3 linked regions of the Schizosaccharomyces pombe genome follow. The gene in region 1 interacts genetically with each later gene. Each region holds a gene or a part of one and is shown in the gene's direction. Other genes may lie near its edges.

What was found.
Region 2: of gap1 (region 1) and fus1, changing one suppresses a phenotype caused by changing the other (phenotypic suppression), as found in Schizosaccharomyces pombe (one study listed by BioGRID).
Region 3: of gap1 (region 1) and pob1, extra expression of one rescues a mutant of the other (dosage rescue), as found in Schizosaccharomyces pombe (one study listed by BioGRID).

The regions. Positions count from the first base shown.
Region 1 is NC_003423.3:946,366-950,125, reverse strand, and holds the start of gap1 (GTPase-activating protein Gap1), read left to right. Parts: upstream 1-1,938; 5' UTR 1,939-2,723; coding exon 2,724-3,760.
Region 2 is NC_003424.3:4,816,171-4,819,930, reverse strand, and holds the start of fus1 (formin Fus1), read left to right. Parts: upstream 1-2,144; 5' UTR 2,145-2,587; coding exon 2,588-3,760. Other genes in the region: eIF2 alpha kinase Hri1, read left to right, coding at 1-1,672. UniProt on the Schizosaccharomyces pombe protein: Required for cell fusion. It associates with the pre-zygotic projection tips in conjugating cells.
Region 3 is NC_003423.3:4,389,487-4,393,246, reverse strand, and holds the start of pob1 (Boi family protein), read left to right. Parts: upstream 1-2,084; 5' UTR 2,085-2,093; coding exon 2,094-2,225; intron 2,226-2,420; coding exon 2,421-3,760. Other genes in the region: vma10 (V-type ATPase V1 domain subunit G), read left to right, coding at 637-639, 687-725, 773-815, 859-959, 1,016-1,156. UniProt on the Schizosaccharomyces pombe protein: Has a role in cell elongation and separation.

The DNA.
Region 1 (3,760 bases):
CGATACCGAACAGCATCTACCCAATCTTGAAAAAAAAATTAAAATTTACTCTTTATGTTGTTTGATAATTTGGCAGGAGAATAGATAAGTCAAGTCATCAAGTAATTAATTTTATTAGTTAGTTTGAGAGTAATCTCGTACTGTAAGCATAATAATGCATGCTATAATATTGGGTACTCAGTTCTCTAATTATTATACATAGTACTTACACAGATGATCATCATTACCATTGCTTAGCAAAATTGGCAATCATAAACAACAGATATTTCTACCACTGCTATAGCGCTATACATCATTCGAATTTTGAGTGGACTTTTGCTCAAGACTTATTTGTCGAAGAAACGAATGAAAATCCACCCCTTCGTCTAATTTCTCTCCCCAAACATGGAGAAATCAAATCTATGTAATATAGGTTGGAGATGACCAAGTCAGCATTAAATGTTTGATCATCTCTTCACTTAGCAAATCCTATTGAATATCACTCAGTTAATCTCTTGTTTTGATCTTTTTCATTGATAAATGAGTACTAAATACATTACTGCTACGTATTGCTTCGTCTCATATAGTAACGGTGGCCAAATTTGAAGTGCGACAAAATACCATACTACTAGTAATAGAAATTCACATACTGAAACGTCAGATGCGTTTAATAAATAAAGCGCTTGTGTTTTGTTGGCAATTTGTGATTCAACGTGGTAATTAAAAAGTTTCAATATTGAGTAAATGGTCCGCTACAGATCACTCCGGGGAAGAGGTTATTGGGTTACGTAAAAAGACTCATGTGCTGTGGGAATAGCTATTGAAGAACACAAGGTATCGATTGTGTCTCACTCGACGTACCATAAGAAAGTTAAATGGTAAAGTGTGATATATGAAGTGAAAATACAACGTTACTATAATTAGCGGATCCAAGATGTCCAAATGATGATGATGATTGATATAGGAAATGCGATTATGTAGAAGATAAAGTGAATTTCCAAAATATCAAAATTAAAATCGAAAATAATCGAAATAACATATTGATATATATATGTAATTTGAGAAAATAAAATTTAAATATATAGGACACAAATAGACGCTCATCTAGTAGAAGAAATTCCAGCAGTCCAGTTACGGTTTGTAAGAGCATAAAATAAAGTAAATCCATAATTCATATAATAAGTTTTCATCTTGTCCTTTATTTAATTTTATTTTTTATTTATTTTTTATTTTTTTTTTTTAAATTTTTACTCCTTTCATTGATTAATTGTAGTAAAAAAAATCTACAAATTCATCGTCCATTTTATCCTATTCACTCGCAATTCTTTTTGGTAAAACACCCACGTGCGACTTTGTATTTGCTTAACGTACAAACTGCCAGTAGCTTAGTGTAAAAAAAAAATTAAAAAAAAAATAAAAAAAAATAAAATAAATCTATAAATGAATCATTACAAATAACGAATTACCAATTGAAAAATTAGTTAGAGTTTCTTTAATTGATCATTAATACATTATCGAATATTAAAATACGTTGGAAATCTGATATAATGCTGCGCACTTTATTAAACAATGAATTTCCACTAAATACCATAATAGCTTCTGTCTTGTCCTTGCTATGTAAACAAAGCTCAAGCCAAACAAAAACTTCAGGCGCATATTAAACAAGCACTTAACGTTTCGTACTAGATATTCTCTCAATTGAATTAATTGATATACGTTGTAAATTATTTCTATGACATGTACCTACCAGTCTTAAGCAGACATTATTAGATTTTGTCCTTTGTTTAACATATTCTCATGTATAAAATTTCTACATTTCTCTCTCTTTTTTTTTTTTTTTTTTAATTCACCACTTTGTATTGTAACATATTTACTTTCACTAAGTCGGCATTTTTTTTTTCCACATCATTAAACCTTACATCGCTTATAGTCGCTACCCTTTGGTCGGCCTTTCTACCCAAGACTTCGTACATACAGAAATCCTCAAAGACGCTTTTAAAGACTATAAAATTAAACAAGCATCCTTGTTTTTTCTGATATCTCATATCACAACATAATAATCTTAATTTCTCGAGTATCTTTTCTTGAAAATTTTTAATTTTTCTCATCTTTATTTTGTTGCTGCTTCAGCAAGCCAGTTATTAATTTTTGTTTAAAAATATATAAATATTAAATATTTATATATATTATTCCATCTACAAAGCATTACTTATTTTCACATACATATACATCTACCTTCATATACAACACTCACTAGTATTGTGTTAAATTTTATTCGTCCAATATCATTTTGCTACCCTGTTTTTGTGTTTTGTCAAGCATTTTATTCTTTGTTCTCTTTTTTTCCCAGATTTGTCACATTGAACCTACGTCCTTTCACGTTAACGTACTCGGACGCTTTGCTCAAATACTATTGAATTGCTCAATAACGTTATAAATTCTATATCCTTTTCTTTTTTCTTTGGAAGAATTTCGCTTTCTTTAATCGTTTAATCGGGCGCCAGTGGGTCTTAATACTGTGTTTTGCTAATAGAACCAATAGGTTCTGTCCGATCTCCTCTAATAACGTTCTTTTGATGATTTTCTCTTTTATTTTATTTTTTTTTTGTTTGAAAACTTAGTATAATATCCATCCTTGTTTTCTTCTTTTACACTTTGACTTGATCCCTACACTCTTTCTTTTTTTTTTCTACCCTCTCTTGTTCATTAGCTACTTAGGCAATTTTTAGCTATTGAAATTTATAATGACTAAGCGGCACTCTGGTACCCTATCTTCGTCGGTGCTTCCGCAAACAAATCGATTGTCCTTGTTAAGGAATCGTGAAAGCACCTCTGTGCTTTATACAATCGATCTTGATATGGAGTCCGACGTTGAGGATGCCTTTTTCCACTTGGATCGTGAATTGCATGATCTCAAACAACAAATATCCAGTCAGTCCAAACAAAACTTCGTCCTCGAGAGGGATGTACGCTACCTTGATTCCAAAATTGCACTTCTTATCCAAAATCGAATGGCACAAGAAGAACAGCATGAGTTTGCAAAACGACTGAATGATAATTACAATGCTGTAAAAGGATCATTTCCTGACGATCGTAAGCTTCAGTTGTATGGAGCGTTGTTTTTTTTACTTCAGTCTGAACCAGCCTATATCGCTAGCCTTGTTCGTCGCGTCAAGCTTTTTAACATGGATGCACTTCTACAAATCGTTATGTTTAATATATACGGAAACCAATACGAGAGTAGAGAAGAGCATCTTTTATTATCTCTTTTTCAAATGGTATTAACCACCGAATTTGAGGCCACTTCTGACGTTTTGTCTCTGCTTAGGGCTAATACTCCGGTATCTAGAATGCTTACAACTTATACACGTCGTGGACCCGGACAAGCATATCTTCGTAGTATCCTTTACCAATGCATTAATGACGTTGCTATCCATCCTGATTTGCAGCTTGACATCCATCCTCTTTCAGTTTATCGCTATTTGGTGAATACCGGTCAATTATCACCATCTGAAGATGATAATTTATTAACAAACGAGGAAGTTTCAGAGTTTCCTGCTGTAAAAAATGCAATTCAAGAGCGTTCTGCTCAATTATTGCTTTTGACAAAACGATTTTTAGATGCTGTTCTTAACAGCATCGACGAAATTCCATATGGTATTCGCTGGGTCTGTAAGTTAATTCGCAATCTGACAAATCGTCTGTTTCCTAGTATTTCAGACAGCACTATTTGCTCTTTAATAGGTGGATTTTTCTTTCTTCGTTTCGTTAATCCAGCTAT
Region 2 (3,760 bases), on another chromosome or scaffold:
TGGTGGATACGAAGACGATGTGATGAATGTCAAGCCTTCAGTAAACGTATTGTCTAATAGGTTAAATCATTTACCAGTTGAAGCATTGGAATCTTGCTTTCCACAAACCACTTTGGAGTCCTCCACGTTTGCTGATTTTTGTGAGCACAAAGATGGAACCGGTAACTTGTCTTTTAGCAACTTTGATAGCTTTCCCACAGTCCAAAGGTCAAGATATGCAAGTGATTTTGAAGAACTTGAGTTACTTGGTAAAGGCGGTTATGGTTCAGTGTATAAAGCTCGAAATAAATTCGATGGAGTTGAATATGCTTTAAAAAAAATTCCACTTCGGTTACGTTCTTTCTCCACTTCTTCTAACATATTCCGTGAATCTAGGACCTTGGCAAGATTAAACCATCCCAATGTGATAAGATTCTTTTCTAGTTGGGTCGAGCTCTTACCGTCATCTGAAAAGCAAATCGAAGAAGAACCTTTAGCTTCGGCAGATGAGACATTATCTCAATCAGCAGATATAGATAATTTTATGTTTGATATGGATACTGGGTTACTTCAGCATACTTATCCTTCATCAGTTCAGATACTATTCCAAGAGGACTCGGTTGCAGATGATTTAACTCCTTGTTACTCTACCAAAAATTCGACTTGCAACTTGACTGATCTTTTCAAGAAAGAGGCCGATCAGGATTATGCCGAGTCACATGATTGTTCTTCAACAACATCACAAGTCGACACATTAGGAAAGTTGGCGCCAACGAAGTCAGCTTCTGAAATGTTACTTATGGATTCATTTCTATCCGAAAGAGAGGAAGATGAATGTTCCAATATTCCCAGCTTTGATCAACAGCCCTTATGTTTGTACATACAAATGGCTCTTTGCGAAGAAACACTCGAGAAACACATAAACAGACGAAATAAGCATATTCACGGTGTAATGTCTAAAGGCCTACGTAACTGTTATATTTTACTGTTTGCAAGGATTTTAGAGGGCGTTTTGTATCTTCACGATGCTATGCATTTAGTCCATCGTGATTTGAAACCTCGAAATATTTTTCTATCTAGTGGTGTACATTCTGAGCCTTGCTCTGTGTGTCTACCTAATTTTTCTGATGAAGATAATGTTGAGGTTAGCAATGCGTACGAACCAGTGAACCAAAGAACTTTATGTGTTGTGCCCAAGATAGGCGATTTCGGTCTTGTTCTTTCTCAGTCAGATAATTTGGAAGAGGGGACCAACTCCTCAGCTGAATCTTCTTTTGTCGGTACAAGTACGTATGCAGCTCCTGAACTTTTCTCAAAACACATGCGATCGGTAATGAATAACAACTCGTCTACTGACATATATGCATTGGGCATACTCTTTTTTGAATTACTGTATCCTTTTAACACGCGCATGGAAAGGGCATCAGCTATCGCCAATTTAAAAAAGGGCATTTTCCCCCATGATTTCTTGGATTCCATGCCAGAGGAAGCTAGCTTAATCCGGTCAATGCTCAGCTCTTCGAATAAGCGCCCAACTGCTGCTCAACTTTTGACTAGCAATCTATTTCATGATTTGGTAGTCAATGAGCTTCATGTATATCAAGCTTTATTGGAAGATGCTGAGAAACGAAATAACAATTTGAAAGCAGAACTAAACATACTTCGAGTTTTAAACCCCAATTACGACTGTTAGTATTAGTTACGAACTACTTTGGACTGCTTCAATTGTTTTTACAATTCGCTTTTGACAAGATTTAGTTGTTTATGTTATTTTATGTTTATATTTCCTACGTTTTATGTTTATCCACTGTTATGATTTGTTTATAGTGAGTTATCTTCCATGCTCTTGGAATGGTTTTTGGAGCTTTTAGGTGCGAAAGAGTAGTCTGCATTAAAGATTTTTCTTATTTTAATATATTAAATTGAAAGTTCATCTTGTACATTTTTTCGTTGCTAGTTTTCAGTTCAACAGTCTGATTGATTTTTTTAAGTTTTCTTGATCTTGATCTTGTACTCAAAATGTTTATCCTTTTTAATCAAACTGTCTTTCATTTATGGAAAACAAATATCAATCAAGCTATAAATTAAACAGCAGAAGCGATTGTTTAATTTTAGCGTGATAGTAAACTAGCACTTCATTAGGCGCCTTATTCTAAAGACACAGTATGTACGCCACCCTCTCAATGTCTTTTAAAAAACATTTATTAATAAATATAAACTAGAATGGACACTAAACTTATTTCCAGCATTATTCAGTTAATTCTGATATGGACTACTTTCAAGTTGTCGCTTTCCAATTACGTTTGTGTTTGAGCTTGAACTTATCGGAAAACTAAATAGTTTTCGAACACAGTTAGTATTTCTTTGTTCTTTAACGGGTACAATAAAATGGATCGTTGCATATGTAATTGTTGCTTTGAATCATATTACGTCGGTTAAACCGAACAAAGAAAGTTATGTTCTAAATACTCAGTAATTTTCTAGTAAGTCTTTTACCTTACTTCTTATATCTGAACTCAAAAAGGATTGTTTACGAGCAAAAAACCTTGTTTCTGTAATTATAGGACATATTATTGATGGTTTCACCTTTTTTAGCTATTGCTTGTTAATGATGACGGCTAGTTTTAAAGGTATCAGAATCTCTAAACCAATTGTTAAAGAAATTTCATCGTTTGGGTCTCTAACAAACATTGATTTACACACTGACCCATATGAAAAAGTCGAAGCAAAAGCATTATCGCGAAGCAGATTAAAAAACCAAAGCGTAAAGAAAACAGACCTTCGTATTACAAATGATTACTCTTCACTATTTGTGAGTATTGAAAACAAAAAAAACACTATTCCGGATATTCATTGCAACAATTTATCAAAAAGACCTGTTGGATTTACCGATTCATATGTACCAGGCGAAGCGCTTCTATGTCCGGATGACCCGAATTTAGTGAATGAATTATTCGATGATGTTTTAAAAAGATTACGCGAAGAAAAATCTGATTCTGGTGAGCAGTTTCATTGGGACGCGAACGTTACACTCTCTCAAGAAAACAAATGGTCTTTCATCACTGGCTATTTATCGAGAAACGATAAATTTTTAAAAATATCATCAAACGATTCTGAACTAAATGTCAAGGCATCCGTCATTTCCTATATTGAAAAGTTAAGCTGTACACCGTTGAAGCTCAAGTACGTGGAATCTTTGGCGGTTGCATTGAGAACCGAATCAGTTACCTGGGTTCGATATTTTCTTTTGATGGGTGGACACATAGTACTTGCTAAAATATTGCAGGCAATTCATGAGAAGAAACATCTAAAAAGTCCTGACATAACTTTAGAAATTGCAATCCTCAAAAGCATGAGGTGTATTATAGGACAGAAGATTGGGACTGATTTCTATCTGAGTAATAAGTATCCTATCGATTCAGTTGTTCACTGCCTCCTGTCAACTAAATTACTAGTAAGGAAACTAGCTGCCGAATTACTTACTTTTCTTTGTTACTCAGAAAAGCCGAACGGAATCAACGCAATTATGAAATGTATGAAAAACTTTGCAAATTTGAAAGTCGAGTCTATGAACGTCTTTGATTTATGGCTTTCTCAATGGAAAAGAACACTCTTAGAGAAAGTTGTTACTGAAGAAAAGAAAGTACTAGAAGAAGCGGCCTTACATGATAAAATAACTATTGAGTATATCATTTCACAAATGCTTCTTATAAATGCATTTCTTGAAAATATCCCATCTAAAACTGCTTTACTCCAGTTCAAGGAATCCTTGAGAATAGGG
Region 3 (3,760 bases), 3.4 Mb from region 1:
TAGTTTAAATTTTAACTGCTTATCTCGCAAAAAATACGCTGCCTAGAAAATATACTAAGTTTAAAATAGTAATTCATTTAGGTATGGTGGTTGTTAAAAAGAGCATATAAATAGAAAAATTTGATGTTTTGAAAGTAATGTCTATAAAACATAAATGAGTTATGTTTAGCAATGCTTATATTTGCAAGGATGCTGTATACGCCGTAACAGCATTATTAGATGCACTTGTTAAATTCAGTGCTGCTCGAACGTACTATCATGTAATATTGTAAGATTCAAATGGTTTCTGCTATCTGTTTACTTACAGTTCTTGATCATATGCCTAAAAATGTAAAACAATACCGAATTTACTTATTAAGTTCCAGTTCACCTGAGCAAACAACGGCGCGTTGCCCAACAATTATAACCGAGGATAGTAAGAATCTGATTTTATTATATAGTATCCAAATTTAGGAGCAAACATTATTTCAATCAAAACATCGCATCTTACCATATCGTTAGCGAGTTTAAGAAGATACGGAATTAGTGGATAGCAGAGTAGATAGAGTACGTTACGGAGATCGAGTAGTTTATCAAACCAGTATTACTTCTTCGACCATAGACCCTTCCTCAAGTACGATTAAATTTACAGACATAATGGTAATTTGTATTTTTATTATAAGGAGCAATTTCTGACTTCTTTTTAGAGTGCTCAAACGAATTCTGGTATCCAACAACTTTTAGAGGTAAGTTCAGGTAATTCCAAGATCGTTATTTCTAATGAGATATGTAGGCTGAAAAAGTTGCTAGAAATATAGTCGAAAAGGCTCGCCAACGTAAGTTTAATCAATCGGAGCAACGTTTCTAAAAGATAAAAAGATCGCACTCAAAGATTGAAGGATGCACGTCTTGAGGCTAAACGCGAAATTGATGAATACGCTTCCAAGAAGGAAGAGGAATTCAAAAAGTCAGAAAGTCAGGTAAAGTTATTCAATACAGTTTTTAAGAGTTTGGACAATCAATTTTAACATATCAGGCTTCTGGTATATATAGTCAGGCTGAAGCGGAGAGCAAAAAGCAAGTCCAGGACACATTTGCAAGTATCGAGACAAGCTCCCAGAAGAACTCTGATAAAGTGGTTGATGCTATTTTATCTATAACTTGCAATGTTAAGTAAACTTACTGTTTATTACTAAATTTTTATATACACATTCTTACTATCCTCTGAAGGGAAAACTGTATTTGCAATTTTTAGCAATAAATCACTTTAACGGTAATCATCTAATATTCCCATACATGTATGAAATATTTGCAATTATTAGATCGTAAAGGGTATAGAATTCTGTCTGCGAGGGATGCTGTTAAATAATCATGCATTCAGATAGCTAATGATTCTTATTAAGCAAAATCATATAGTGGACTGTTGATATCCCAGGAATATGGTCAAATACGAGTTTAGCTCATTTTTTATTTTAGTATTGTGAAATATTAGCGAAGTTATCCAATAATTACCTTCAACCGTAGACGGACCTTGTATAAATAATAAGTTACCTGGTTAATACTCGATCGCATTTCCATAATACCTTTGTGGTAGATCAAGTCAATCGACCTCATTACACACGTGAATAAATAAATTAGATACATGTATTATAGTAACTATGCAATTGTCACCCTCATCGTTATACTAAGCGTATTTCAATGGAAACGTAAGCATAATCACAATTCTTAGTTCTTTGGTCCTTCATTTATTCGTTAATATACGAAGATGAGACATTCTATCCTTTGCCTTCAAACGTACCGACATGTATATTAGAAGAAATAAATAAAACACCTATTCAACACCTAATACTACTATTACCCCCACGTAAGTACTGGTTAAACCATGACTAGGTCAAAACACATTCTGCAACACTCTCCTAATGTAATATAACAGACTTGCAGATTTCAAAAAGCAAAGCCCCCACGAAGGTCGTCTTTCCCCACATAGATTATTATCGTTAAAGTGGGCTAAGCCAAACACGGTAAACACTGTTTTGCCAGCCATCAAGATTTAAGCCTTCGATTACAACACCGCATAACCACATAGCTGTGTTTTTTCTGCTTTTACCACAACTATGGCAAGTCAGCGGTTCGTGATTGCTTTGCATTCCTTTCCGGGGAAGAGTAGTGATGAACTTCCGTTGGTTGAAGGTCGGAAGTATCTGTTGATAAAGATGGATGAAGAATTTGGTGATGGTTGGTGGGAAGTAAGTATATAACTTCGAAGTCAAAATCCTATTATTTTTATTCCTGGTATATTTTATAATTTGAAGGATTCTTGATGCCTGCTTTGTACAGTTTTCCAATCCACATAAAGATGCAAACACTATATGTCAAAGTTGCATGCCCTTAGGATTGTGAAACCTTGATATATTTTTATCATACTAACTAAGTTTTAATAGGGAGAAGATGAACAGGGAAATAGGGGTATTTTTCCTGCTTCGCACGTAGAATTGATATCTGATGAGAGGTCTGACTCAAGTGATTCAAGAAGAGGCAAAGAAGATTTCTCCATTTCTACCGCGGAAGTCACAAGATCCTCTTTATCAAGCAGCCGGTCAACTTCTTCACGATCGGACAAGGACAGTGAAAAGTTGTATTCGAATAATTCCTTGTCTTCAAGTCACTCATCAATCTTAAACGGCCCCCTTGATAGTCTTTCGAAACCTTCGGTCCCTAGTAATTTTAACTCAATGTTTCCATCTTCTAAACAAGAAGGCCCTTCCCCTTTGTTGGATAACCAACCTTCCTCAGATCTATCAAACTTCAACACTATTGATGCCGATTATAATAATGCTTCTGCTTCTACTTCTGCTCCTGCTACTTCAGCAAGCTTGAAAAAGGTTTTGTCAGCTGAGGATTCCGTTAGAGAAACTATTACAGATATTGAAACAGCTTTACAGAATATGTCAACTTCAGCATCTCGTACTCCAAATGACAGTTCACCTTTGCCCTATATTGAAAATCGACCTGCATCCTCTCTTGCTGTTTCCGAAAAAATTCAAAATGTTCCTAACTGGTCTACGGAAGAGGTAGTTGAATGGCTTATGAATGCCGGCCTTGGATCAGTAGCTCCTAATTTTGCGGAGAATGAAATAACCGGTGAAATTTTATTAGGCTTAGATTCCAATGTTTTGAAAGAACTTAACATTACTTCTTTTGGAAAACGTTTTGAAGTTTTACGAAAGATCCAACAATTAAAAGATTCATACGAACAATCTTTATATGAAGAATATCCGCAGTTTGCTGAGCCTATTTCTGTTAGCCAAAGTTCTGATTCCTCCTCTTCTATTCCAAAAAAATCTAATGATGAAGCCGGCGGTTCACCATCAAAATCCAGTCCAACTCGTCCGGGATTTAACGATTATGTTAATCGTCCGACTAGTGTGATGCCTTCTTTGTCAAATATGATTGTTTCACCTGATTTGGACTCATCTCCATCTACCGATTGGAACCAATACGTGATTCCTCCTTTAGCCACACCAAGTTCGCGCAATTCTAAGTCTACGCAATCTGCGGTCCCTGAAAATGTATCTCGTTTTGATTCTAACGAACCTTCGGCCACATCACCGATATTAAAACGTTCATCCCCTACGGACTCAATTTCTCAAAATAGCGGTTTACCTTCTCGTCTTACTGAGCCCATCTCTTCTCCTTCTACCAGTAGCATTGATGTTGATAAGGAAGGAACTTCATTTCCTGGTTTACCTTATCATTCATCTAAGGGCAACTTGTATGCTCC